3 linked regions of the Mus musculus genome follow. The protein of the gene in region 2 purifies or fractionates together with the protein of the main gene of each other region. This does not show direct contact. Links are inferred from orthologs where the notes say so. Each region holds a gene or a part of one and is shown on either strand. Other genes may lie near its edges.

Evidence for each region.
Region 1: the proteins of Ing2 (region 2) and Rbbp7 purify together in Homo sapiens (affinity purification with mass spectrometry; 3 studies listed by BioGRID and IntAct, counting the BioPlex papers as one, with this or other methods). This does not show direct contact. The link is inferred for Mus musculus from reciprocal best matches to the Homo sapiens genes ING2 and RBBP7.
Region 3: the proteins of Ing2 (region 2) and Sap30 purify together in Homo sapiens (affinity purification with mass spectrometry; 3 studies listed by BioGRID and IntAct, counting the BioPlex papers as one, with this or other methods). This does not show direct contact. The link is inferred for Mus musculus from reciprocal best matches to the Homo sapiens genes ING2 and SAP30.

What each region holds. Positions count from the first base shown.
Region 1 is NC_000086.7:162,758,860-162,763,251, forward strand, and holds the start of Rbbp7 (histone-binding protein RBBP7), read left to right. Parts: upstream 1-1,512; 5' UTR 1,513-1,832; coding exon 1,833-1,848; intron 1,849-1,989; exon of another isoform or gene 1,990-2,304; intron 2,305-2,715; coding exon 2,716-2,860; intron 2,861-4,392. UniProt on the Homo sapiens protein: Core histone-binding subunit that may target chromatin remodeling factors, histone acetyltransferases and histone deacetylases to their histone substrates in a manner that is regulated by nucleosomal DNA.
Region 2 is NC_000074.6:47,672,318-47,676,697, forward strand, and holds the start of Ing2 (inhibitor of growth protein 2), read right to left. Parts: upstream 2,843-4,380; 5' UTR 2,364-2,842; coding exon 2,189-2,363; intron 1-2,188. UniProt on the Homo sapiens protein: Seems to be involved in p53/TP53 activation and p53/TP53-dependent apoptotic pathways, probably by enhancing acetylation of p53/TP53. Component of a mSin3A-like corepressor complex, which is probably involved in deacetylation of nucleosomal histones.
Region 3 is NC_000074.6:57,484,936-57,489,054, forward strand, and holds the start of Sap30 (histone deacetylase complex subunit SAP30), read right to left. Parts: upstream 2,926-4,119; 5' UTR 2,632-2,925; coding exon 2,317-2,631; intron 701-2,316; coding exon 575-700; intron 206-574; coding exon 107-205; intron 1-106. UniProt on the Homo sapiens protein: Involved in the functional recruitment of the Sin3-histone deacetylase complex (HDAC) to a specific subset of N-CoR corepressor complexes. Capable of transcription repression by N-CoR.

The sequences.
Region 1 (4,392 bases), on a different chromosome or scaffold from region 2:
ACACAGAGTTCAGATTTCAGTGTCTATAGTTTTGCTGGAAGATGGCCAGGCTTATCCATATTTTCTATGGCTGTTGTGTTACAACACCGAAGGCTGCCTGACCCCTGTCAAAAAAAAAAAGTTTGACCACCAGTGTTCTAGAACTCGGAGGACCCATGCTACTCCACTCTTCTAACCGCCCCCCTCCCGCCTCCAGCCACCTCTTCAGCGTTAGTCACCAGCAAGATTCTTGGAGCTGACATGGAGGGAGGGCGTTATAATAATGAATTGTACCACATGGGAAAACAAGAGACCCAAGACAGTAAATTTCTATATAAGGGAACGTGACTGTTTCTGTCACATACTAGAGTAACGTCTGAGTTGGTTTCTCGATCAGAAAAGAGAGCATCCTCGAGGCCTCTGCATGGTTGCGTTTAAGCATGAAGGCACTTGGAAAGCTATCAAGGGAACAAATGTTCCGGGGGTGTTTCTGCAAGGAGAGCCTCTGAGTTTAGATGTAGACTGTGGTTCCCTTTAAGCGTAGGCGCCTGGGCCCCTCTGCTCTGGCCCTCTTTTTCTCCCTGGGATCATGTGGCTTTCTCTTCACCCCCCCCCCCAAGGCTAAAAAGCTTCAGAGAAATGCAGAGCTCAGGTATGCAGGCCTAGATTAGCCCAGCCCAGCTCTCTCCAGTTCAGCAGCCAGCTGCAGGGTCAAAATGGGACCCCTTCAGGTGACAAGAATGACTCAGCAGGGGCCTAGGCAGGAACTGAGATAGGGAAGCAGTGGCAGGCACAAAATCCCCTGCAGCAGCAGGAAGCTAAAGAACCAGTAGGTTAAGGACGCACAAAGGTGAACATACAAAAAGTCATTTAAGTCAACTTTCGACGAGGGGCGGATTGAAGGCCTGCGCCATCGCAGGCCTTAAATAAAGGTCTGCCCAGCTTCTGGGAGAAAAAAGAAAAACCCGCCCAAGGTCTCTCCTAAAGGTCCCTTTCGCTTATGACAAATGTCACCAGAGCTCGACTGGGCCCTCGATACAGTTGAATGGGGGAGCCTTTGAGGGGTGCAGAAAACTGCGTGGCCGTGATTATCTGGGAGACTTTGCGGGCAGTGTAATCTCTCGAGACCAGGAAACCATTTTCCTCACTGGCTCTGAGATTTTGCTTTGCTAAGGCGGCTGCAGCTTCCCTGCCCCCCTCGCACACCCCCGCCGCCGCCGCCGCCGCCGCGGCTGCTGCTTTAAGCAACCACGCCCCGCGGGCCCCAGGCTTCTTGGCCCTGGGGCTCGCAGCCCCCGCGCAGCCTGCACACCGCGCTCGCATCCGCCCCACCCCCGCGCGGGCCCAGCCGCCCCCGCGGCCAGCCTGGGGAGTGACGCCTCGCGCCTGCGCCTCGCCGACTTCCTGCCGCGGAACGCCCCACCCACTCTCGAGAAGCCCACCCCCGGAGAGCGCGTCAGACCCTCCCGTCGCACGCTATTGGTCCAAGCCGCCGAGCCGTTGGCTCCCAGGCCCGCCTCTTCTCCGCCTCTCCAATTTCCCAGGGCGGCTGCGCCTGCGCTCAGCTGCCTGGGCGGGCTGAGAGGCGCGGGTTGAAAAGTCTCGTTCCAAGTTTGGCGAGAGGGAGAGAGAGGAGAGCGGCTCAGACCTCGCTACCCGCCAGCGGGGAGGAGGCAGAAGAGGAGATCGCGGCGTCTGGGGGGAGAACCCAGACGGCCAGACCGAACTCAGGCTTTTCCGAGCGAGGACTGCGTGACGTGCCTGGGAGAGGCAAGGAGCGCCTGCCGGGCTGCTCTTGACTAGCGAGAGAGAAGTCCGAGGCGGCCAAGGGGGGCGAAACGACCCGACGCAAGATGGCGAGTAAAGAGAGTAAGGATGCCTGCCCTGTGGGGCGGGCGGGCGTGCGGGCGCCGGGACTCCGGGGGGCTGGCGGGCTCCCGAGGCCTCGGCACGCGCTGACGAAAGGCGCGAATTGGCGTGAGGAGCAGGGGGCGGGGCTGGGCGCGAGACTCGCCGCGCGCCTGCAAGGGGGCCTGCGCGACACGGGGCCTGGTCGCCGCCGAGGGCCGGGAGCATTTCCGGAGCCGGGCGCGGGGGCCGAGAGAGAGGCCCCCCTTCCCCCACCCCCACCCCCACCCCGCGGCCTAGCTCCCTCCGACGCCCTTGGCTCGGGGGCGCAGGCGCTCGCGGCCCGAGAAGTCAGCGGCGGGCGCGGATTCTTCCGTGCGCGTGGTCGTCGTCCGTCTGGGGTCGCGGCCCGTGTCCGTGTCGGGAGGGGGGGGAGGAGCTGGATCCCGCCGGACTATGGCTGCCGATCGTGGCTTGGTGGGGAGCTGGGGCCTCCTGCGAGGGTGGGGGGTGGAGGGAGCAGGCCTGTGGGCTGCTGCTGTTCCACGTGGATTGGATCTATTCGAGTGGGTCGGGGCACCGGTTTACAATGCGGATCATCGTAGAACAGGTGCGAGCGGCTATAAAAAGGCTGACGAGCTCGGTGGTAGGGCAATTAATGACCCAATTCGGGTAAGCGCCGGAATCCCGATCTTGGAAGTGGAGGCGAAAACGCTTCCTGATGTTGATCTTCTCACTTTGTGGGAGAGCAGTTCGTGTGAGCAGGATAGGTAAAAGGAAAGAATAGATAAGGTGTGGCCGTCTCGAGGTGACCTCCAGGATCCGTAGCCATGCCTTTGACTCCGAGCCTTCTCAGCCACTTAATTGTGGGCTTTCTCCAAATTTCAGTGTTTGAAGATACTGTGGAGGAGCGTGTCATCAACGAAGAGTATAAAATCTGGAAGAAGAATACACCGTTTCTGTATGACCTGGTTATGACCCATGCTCTTCAGTGGCCCAGTCTTACCGTTCAGTGGCTTCCTGAAGTGACTAAGTAAGGGTTTCTGCCAACTTCTATTTTGTGTAGATTTAAGTACCATGTTAAATTTCTAGGTATTGTTAATGTTATTTTACACACAGAACATAAATACCTAATTGGTTAGGCCGAGGGTGAGGCGGCAAGTGGTTGTTCAAAACTTAAGATGGTTTCTATCGTAGAGGTGTGTTGAGAGGAGAGAATATTGTGTAATACTGTGTATAGGAAACGATGACTATTTTGCCATTCCATGACCAACATCTCTGGACTCTAGATCAATACATTATTTTCAAACTTAATAGGAAAGATTACATACATAACAAATTAAAAGCTATTATGGCTTGATGCATTAAGTGATTTTCTTGAATATTTGTAAGATTTGGCATAATTACTGATATTTATGGAGCACTTAGAATAATAGAACCTGACACATCTGAAGAGTTTAAGCCTCATAACAGAACTACTGTTGCGATTCAGAGATTTACCAGTGAGGAAAGGGGATGAGAATTTTAAGCACGGTGCTCAAGCGCTCACTACTGGCGATCTCATAGCTTACAAACTAGGGCTCAACCAACCAAAACCGGTTGGCTCCAGAATCAAGGCACTTCCTTCACTAGACTACCTTTAGGTAGGCATGTACCTTTTTTTTGTAATTTTTTTAAAAGATTTATTTATTTTTATTATATGTAAGTACACTGTAGCTGTCTTCAAACACTCCAGAAGAGGGAATCAGATCTCATTACGGACGGTTGTGAGCCACCATGTGGTTGCTGGGATTTGAACTTCAGACCTTTGGAAGAGCAGTCGGGTGCTCTTACCAAGTGAGCCATCTCACCAGCCTGGCATGTACTTTTTCTATAGGAATATGGGCACATACCTTAAAAGTATATTGATTTTTTTTTTTTGTCTTTTTTTTGTATAGTGAGCCTATAATTAGGGTCAAATGAAACTAATATACAAGGAAGAATTTGTGACCAGTGGTAAAAAGAAGCTAGTTTTAAAATCACTTGAAAGGGCTAGGTTCCATATATGAATATTGACCTTCCAGATGTGGGCTTGCTGTCTCAAAATCTCATGTTTTTTATTTGCAGGTTTTTTTATGTTAAAATTCCATTTTAAAAATCTAAATGTCCAGTGAGAAGAGTCTTGAATTGCTACATAATGGGGGCTTATAGGCATTGATTTTAATTTTTTCAGCACTGGAGGTGGTTCAAACCCAGGGCCTCAGCATAGTAGGCATGTGCTCTGTGGCTAAGGTGTTTTGAACAGATTCTAAAATAGACTGAGGGTTGGCAAGGTGGCTTCGCATGGTAAGGCACTTGCTTCCAAGCCTAAGAACATGAATTCAGTCTCCAGAACTAGAAAGCATTGACTCCTGCAAGTTGTCTTTTGATCTACACATGTACACTGTTGTAGACATGCATATCCACACACAATAAATAAATAAGTAAATAGAATAAAAATAGAATGAGCTGGGTGTGATGGCACATGGGTATAATTCTAAGTTATAGGCCTGCCTGAGGTATACTCATAAGACCATGGATTTTTGT
Region 2 (4,380 bases):
GCTGAGGAGACAATGAAGGCTTCCTATAGCCATATCCTGCAATAAATATTTAAACCAGTTGTGCTTTTTCTTTGTTTCTCTACTTAATGAACCATGCAATAATTTCTGAAAGGCACAGTAACATTAGACCCCCATACTAGAAAATACTTAAGAATCAGTGAATATAAAATCTGGACCAAGAAAACAAAAATATATAAAGCTTCTAACAAAAATAAAACTGTGAAGTTGAGCTTAGCAACTCTGTGCCTATGCAGAAGCTAGACCACGATTTGTGTATTAATCTTGGAATTAATCTCAATCATAATGGAGCTGGTTTGCATTAACCTCTCAGTCTTGTAAGATCTACTATTCATGTTACCTGAACAGTTTATGACAATTACAGGTAACTGGTATCACAGATTTCCCTGTCAAAAAATTATGTCACTACCAATCTAAAAGTCTAAGCTTTGCGCTTTTAAAGAAAAAAAACTACATATTTTGGCACAGAATTCTCATGCTAGGTTGCCATTCATGTATGTTCCCTATGTCTGCAGAAAATACCACAGAATGATTTTCATTTTTTGAAAGGGTGAACTTGTAGGGCCTTTACCTATCCTGTGTGAGTCCTAACTTCAATCTCTTGGGATTGAGAGGAGTCACAGTTTTAAAACGGTTTTAAAAGCAGACAGCTTTGAAATAAAATATTCTCCACCAATTAACTGAATTCATTATACCATCCCTATAAATTTTGTCTATAAAAGTAGATTTTTACCTCATAAGTCTTTGAATCTGGTGAAAACACTGTTATACTATAAACAGTGAGAGACTTAGAAAACAAGTTTGTCGATTGAAAACACCTAAGTGCTCTTACATGCTAAGTCACCATGGGGTGTATTACAGGATTAAGTTACAGGACTGGGGATGGTCTGGGGAAACAGAATGACTCCAAGTTGTTTTTATGGTCCATATTAGGTCTACACAGTTTCTTGACTAGGGGTTACTAAAGGCTGAACGTATCCCCATTTAAATTTCTCCTGTCCTAGCAGGAGAAAGGTATGACAATCCCTGAAGATATTCCCTGTCCTAGTTTCTTTGATGACAAGAAAAAGCTTTTCTCCTCATTTAAACTTGGTGGAGGAGGAACCCAAGGGTGCAAAGACGCCAGGTGGTTGCCCAGCCAACGAACCCACTTCCTCCAGAAGTCCGGAAGTGACACATGGCCCGGAACCTACGCTGAGCCAGGGTCAGAGACAGTCCCCCACGGCGGTGTCCGCGTCTTGATTCACTAACCGGGGTGGGGGGGGGGGCTAGGGAGAGATTTGAAATATCTCTCCCAACACCCAACACTGACTCCGCCCAGGCCCACCGACCGTCCCGCCCAGCAATGGGTTCAGTCCACCCCAGGACCCTTCCGAGCAGCCCGCCGTGGCCGACTCCCGCGGGAGCGCGCGCCCCGCCCATACGACGTCACACCTGCAGGCCCCGCCCCTAGGCCGGACCCTCCCCGCCACACACTCACACACACACGCACACACACACACGGACGCACACACATACACAACACACACACCCCTTCTCCGTCTCGCCCTGCGGGGGAACCCCTCCCCCTTTAACCATTTGGCAGTAGCCGAAGAAGGGCTGAGTGAGACACCGGGCGGCCCGGAACTTTCCCCGGGGCGAGAGGGAAGCACAGACCGTCCCAGTCCCGCGCCACGCCGGGAGCTGGAGGGGGGTGGGGGTGGGGGGAGAGGCATCTCCCGAGTCCACCTCCGCCGTCCTCTCGCCCCCTCCCCCCCATACGTTCCAATGCATCTGCTCGCAGACGGAGGGAGCCCCAGCAGGCAAGGGGCTAAGCAGGCCCAGCACCCCGGTCCAGCCCCGCAACCCTGCTCGTTGCACACTCTCCAGCCCCGGGCAGGACAGTGTGCGGCACCCAACCGGCAGGCACCGGAACAAATGCTCGCTTAAAAATGGCTGATTCCCGTCCGCGGCAGCTGCAGCCAGCCGCCGGAGCTGCAACGGGGGCTGACGGACGGGCGGTCCTCGGAAGTCCTCGTCAGCCGCAGCCGGGACAGGGAGGGCCGCGAGTGTGCTGTGCCGTCCCCCCACCCAGACACACACACACACACACACAACCGCTTCCCGGCCCCACACACCAGATCGCTCGGTGCACTCGGCGCACACTGTCACCCGAAAGAAGGGAAAGTACCTTGGTATTTGTTGTCCAGCTCCCGCAGCACCGACACGTTCCTCTGCATGTCGTGGGGCAGCGACTCCACACACTCCAGGTAGTCCTGCACGTAGCAGGAGAGCAGCCGGCTCCGCTCTCCGGTCAGGAGCGCGGCCGACGAGTACAGCTGCTGCTGCTGCTGCTGCCCTAACATCCTGCCGCCGCCACCACCACCACCGCCGCCGCCGCCGCTGCTGCTGCTCCTCGCCGCCGCCGCCGCCGCCGCCTCCGCATCCAGCAGCCACACATGCAACAGCCACGACCGCCGCTCCTCCGCTCGGCAGCCCGGCGCCGCGGGGACACGGCCGCCGCTCGAGAGGGCACCGCCGAGTCCCCCGATCTCCACTCCCCCAAGAAGAAGCCCTTACTCCCCGCCCCCGCGGTAACAAGCCCAGGGGCGGGGCGAGACCGGGGCTCCCTCCGGCCCCCTCCCTCTCTAGGAGAGCGAGCAGCGGGGTTCCCCGCGGCCGATGGCGCCGGGGCTCCCAGGCAGCGACGCTGGCTGTCCCCCCCGGGGACTCCCCAGACACTACCGGGGCTGCCCGGTCGCCCGGATCCCCGTGACAAGCCCCTCGCTACCCTCTCGCCTCTCTATCAGCCTCCGTGCCTGTCGGAGTCTCACAGGACTAGTCCCCGCCCCTTGGCCAGCGACCGCATCTGCGCCTGCGCAGCACTCACTCCTAATAAGGCTGGGGCCCCGCCCCTATCGTCCTACCGAAGAGTTCGCATTCTCCCGCCTTCCCTGCGCCACCCGGGCGATTGGTCTGTCAGCTCTCGCCTGGGGGCGGGGGGAGGGTGCGGAGGCCGGCCAAACGGCAGGCCGCGCCCCGCCCCCTCTTAAAGGGACCGCATGGCTGAGCCTGCCCCCTTCGACCGAAGTCCTGACGGTTGCCCCCGAGAGGCCGGGCGACCGCTCTCTTCGTTTCTGTTCCCCTACAGGGATAGGAAGCGCCGGCTCGGCTCGCTCGGCCCCGAGTTACCGACCTTGCCTCCATCTGGCGGATCCAGCGCCTCCCTCGCGAGCCTCCAAGACAGCAGCGAGCGGCCCCTGGGCGCCGCTGGCCGAGTGAGGCCTGAGGGGGAACTAAGGCGACCCAGGGTGCAGCGGGCGCGGCTCCGGGCATGCGCGGCGACTTCCCGCCGAGCGCCCCGCGGCCACGGTCCCGGAGCACCGGGGCGGACCGCGGAGGTAGGCGGTGCGCCCTCTGCCCTTTTAAATGCGGACTCCCCGCCTTGCGTGCGGCCCCTCCACCCCCCAGCGCCGGGGTGGCTCTCAGGGTCTGCTCCCCCTCCTCGCGCTTAAGAGTTTGGTTTAGGGAGGTGGCAAGGCTGCACGCCGCCCCGGTCCCCAGTCCCAAACCATCTTAAGGAAACTGTTGTCAGATGTCGAATCGCCTAGGCATCACCCGCCAGCGAGGACACACAGTCCTCACTGTCTTTTCACTCGGCTTCACCACTAGCCAGCAGGGGATCAGTGCAGATGGGATTAGAAATCGGATCAACCACCGAGTGCGGTGCTTTCCGTGTGAGGGATTATCCGCCTTACTCCCCCAGTACCATCAGTGAAATGCCGGTAGGAGGAGCTCACTGTAATTACGGATAGACTTCCGGAATGTATATAAATATGTGAGCTGTTTTGGTTTTGGTTCTCCCCCCCCCCCCCAACCGAAATAGGTATAAGAAAGAGTAGTCGCTTAATTCAGATGAGATGCCCAATGGGAGCGGCGTCTTTGAATGAGAAGAGAGAAAACGCCAGAGTGCTAAGTTTGGGTGCTCTTGCCCGGTTTGCAGCGCTATACCTGTTGCCCGGCCTGTTCAGCACACTTTCATACAGTGGGGTATATTAAGCAGCTGTTGGGATGCCAAGGGAAACCTAGGTCCTGGTCTAGATGAAAATTTGGATTTCGACAAAACACAACGCGGAATTCGGCGTCCTGAGGACAAGGGCTATATTGGAAGGCCTGGGAACTAATGTGTTAATGTACTTTAACGCTGAGATTTTGATCAGTGGAGTATTAAGCCAACCGAGGCAAGCACAGTATTTATTGAATTTCTGAGAACGTGGGACGAATTTTCTTTCCATTATTTAATATTAAAGAGCCAGGTCTTGTTGAAAATAACCATTGTTAAGGTTATTGACTTGATTTTGTTGTTATTTTGTTTTTGGTTTG
Region 3 (4,119 bases), about 9.8 Mb from region 2:
AATATACTATTTAATATACTACATTCATCTATTTCATCATCACTTAATGATACCTTGTTGGTGTGAACAGGATTGTTTAAACAGTATAAAGCTTATTTATATATACCTCAACAAGTTGTGCTTTATTTAGACCTGGTCTGGTTGGAAGCTTGAAGTGTCTTTTGTATCTTCTAAGTGTATTTACTTGTAATTGGTACAAATCAACCTAGAAAAAAAAAATAGATGAGTTAGTTCACTCTGTTGAAAAGATATCATTGATCTGTATTATGACACTTCACACAATGACTTCATTTACACACTCAGACCTGTACTTTATTAAACAGTTCCATCTTTGGGGGATACATATTGTAAACTTCCGGAGAAACAAAAGAGGAAGTTGTATGTCAAGAGCTGTAAGAATGTCGTCTGAGATTTAATATTAGTATAAATACATCTTCACTGACTGTATATAACTTTTGAGATTTTTCAGATGCTTTAAACAGTTAAAGAAGAGCTCAAATATTTACAGAATGGTGTTGGGATTGCCAGCATGCTTATGATTTACATATAACATGGGGAAAAGCCTGCCATCTACCTCTGGAGTGTCGATGTCCTGAACAGGCGAGTCTCCCCCATCATCATCGCTTCCTTTCCTCTTCCTTCTGTTCCGAACGCTCTGAATTAAGTTCTTATGATAGTCACAAATGTAAAGATGCCTTGCCTGTAAAGGAAAAATTTTCAAAGACTGTGAGTCCAGAAAAACTGCAGCTAAGTATTAGTAAAATGCATAGGCCCAGGTGGCTGACTAAAAATCATCTTAACAGGCCACTGTTCAGAAGATGCAATGTTTCTTTCCACTATTAAAATGTTGTAACATTAGCAATCTGGCGATACTGTTAAGGAAATGGGGGAGGGGAGGAATTGGAAGCGGTGGGCGGGCGGGTAGTATCTTGGAGAAGGCAGGCAGGCAGGAAAGGAAGAAAAATTCCAATTCTCTGGGTCTTGTCATCAAATTGCAGGGAAGGTGACCTAAATAAGTTAGCTCCTGCTGATTTTAACTTAAAAGGGAGAGGTGGCATTGCCCACAAATTTGTCCTTGTATTTTCTCTAGCTTGAGAGCAGCATTATATTACTCGTAGGTACATGCTTTCTGATTGATCTGTTAGATAGTGAAATTCTACAGGTACAAAGTATGCATTTCTTTACAAATGCAACATTGAATTCATATCCTATGTTTAAATTTGAACCCTAAGGTTTCTTTTTAAGGATTAAGCGAATATATTTCTCTGTATTTTGTGTTTTCAATTAAAGCAAATTATTCATGTTCTCTTGCAAAGTTTCTCATGGACCCTACTGAGAAACCTGCCTAAACAGAATCACAAATAAACTTTTCAAAAAAATTAATTACTCGGGGATTTGAGAGCTGTATATACAGTGGACTAGGAAATACTGAGCTGATTGACACTCTCCCCCCCCCCCCTTTTAAGGCTACAATTAAAGGCCGAATGAACAGGCTTTTAAATTGACTTCTAAGCTAAGGGTAAGTTAAAAATATACAGGATGTCTGGAGGTTCTGTATCTTGTTCTTCCTTTGCCATCAGTCAGAGCTCTGAAAAGTAGCAATGGAATTCTCTGAAACCTCATAGCTGGCCAAAACAGCAGACGTGCATAAAGACAGAAAAAGAAATCCCGATGGCTGCCGAGAGGGCTGTAAAACCGCAGAGGCTTATTTGCAGCCTTGGTTCGGAGCAGCTGCCCGAAGAGCTGACACCGCAAACAACGTTTACAATCATCTATCTCCCTGTAAGGCAACTGGTGAGCTCAGCTTGCTTGTCTGTGTTCAAGAGAAAGAGAACAACGAGGAGGAAAGAAAAAAAGAAAAGACAAAAAGGAAAAAAAGAGAGAGAGAGAGAATTGTGGGGTCCAGCCAGACTCTACTTTCCCTAGAGGAGCGAAGCTGCTCCCTAGGGCAGACACCGGCTCTGGCAGCAAAACAAAGGCGCCTCCATTCCAGAAGGGACTGCCCGGCTGCGAGAAAACTACTCCGGGCCCTCGGTGCTGCGGTCCCCTTTGTTTCGTTTCCAGATCGCAGCAAAGGAGGAAGAGGGAAGCCTGGCGTGGGAGACACGCGAGGCAGCGGGAGTCCGGGCGAGGGGCGGAGGAGCCCCGCACCACTGCGCGAGCGCGCGCTGGGGAAGGTGGCCGGAGTTGCAGGGACTTTGTTTCAATCAGAGAACCACTAATCCCACCTGCAACCCAATCCCCGAGACTCGTGAACCCCGCCAACCATCCGGCGAGGCACGCAGGATAGGGCAGGGCGGTCCCTGGGCCACTTACACTCTTATCCAGCTCGATCTTCACCTTCTTCTGAGAGATGCTCTTCTGGATCCTTTTGCTGAAGCTGGCGTTGCCTGCCGCGCGCCCGCACCGCTCACCGTCCTCCCGCAAACAACAGAGTTGCCCAGGGCCGGGACCGGCCGCTCCAGGTGGCCCAGAAGCTGACACTGCACCGGCACCGGGTACCTCTGCCCCACCGCCGGCTGCGTTCCCATTCCCCGCCGAGGCGGCGGCAGCCGCAGCAGCGACCACCGCGGCCACGGCGGCGGCCGCGTCCCCGCCTCGGCTCATCTCCTCCGGAGTGAAGCCGTTCATGTCTGCCAGTTCGGGGGCGCCGGCGCCGCTACAGAGCCCCGCTCGCCGCGCCGCTCCGCCTCCTTCCCCTGGGCGGCCGTTCACTCCGCACCCCAAGTCTGGTGGCGGCACGGTCCGACGCCCAGAGTCCAGGGCCGGCCGGTCTGTCGGTGCTGGAATAGCTACCAGGTCCTGTGACTGTGATCAGGAGTGAAGTGGCGCCTAGAAAGGAGACCCCACTCACTGTCACATGGAGACTTCAGCAGTTGGACCGCAGCTCCTCCGCCTCCTTCTCAACCCCAGAACCTGCGCGAGGGAGACGCCCCTCCTCTGGCCCCGCCCCACACCTGCCGCGCGGCCCCACGGGAATGGTAGTTCTTGATCGAGGAGCTAACTTGCGCTCTGTTCTGATTACGTGCGGGACCAGCGGGACAAACTACTCATCCCAGCATGCGTCGCGTGGCGAGCCACCCCTAGTTTTTTTTTTTTTCCATTCCAAGCACCGGGCAAGTCTGACTGTGAGGTCAGGCTTTTACCGTGTTTTCTCGCCTCTATTCTCTCCTGCGAGCAAGGGCTGGTTTTAGCTCCTCTTGTTTCGCAAAGTTAGTGTTCAGACCGCCAGCTGACTCCTGGGAAGAAGCATTAATGGTGTGTGTGTGTGGGGGGGTGGGGGGTGGGGGGGGGTAGTAAGAATTAAGTGAGAAAAAGTTTACGGGCTGTTTGGTATTTATTGAAAGAAAACTCGGGATACCTAGCGCTCTTTAGGCGGAGAGTCCTTCATCTCCATCTCCATACCGCAGCTGACTTCTAGAGCGTGGCAGGTCCTTGGCATACTCGTGTGCCGACGGGTTGGCAGGCATCGGGCTGCTTGTCGCCTCTACTGCCACTTGGATTCCTTTCAAACGGATCTAAGAGGGTTTAAGACCATTTAAAGGAAGCACACTAGTATCACGTCTGCAGACTACTCATCAAAACTTAGCCCTGGCTGTAGGGGACGAGGATCGAGAAACCTCTTTTCTTGAGTCATATGCATGCGTACATGTGTGCTTGTGTGTGCCGCGGGTGTGTGTGTGGGGGGGGGGGGGGTTGCGCGCGTGCGCGCCTGGGTACGTGTTTGTGCTCGCGTAATGTGTATTTTTGCCTGTGCCTGTGGTGGGCGGGGTGGAAGAATGGGCGTGGCCATGCCAACCCTGAACCTCTGATAATTATTAGACTTAAGCTTAAGCAAAAATAATTTATTTCAAGTGGAAGAGTTTTGAGAAAGCCTGTTTTAGATTCAACCAATTCAGTGACGATTATATATATATATATATATAATCGTCACAGAGGTCATGAAAAACTTAGGCCCAAGCTTTCACACCTTTAATCCAAAGAGACAAAGCCAAGCAGATTTCATTGTTCAAGACCAGCTTGGAACAGAGCAAGTTCCAAATAGAGAAAAGTTTAAATCCAGTCATGGTAGAACATGCCTTTAATGCCAGCATTAATGATACAGAGCCACACATATCT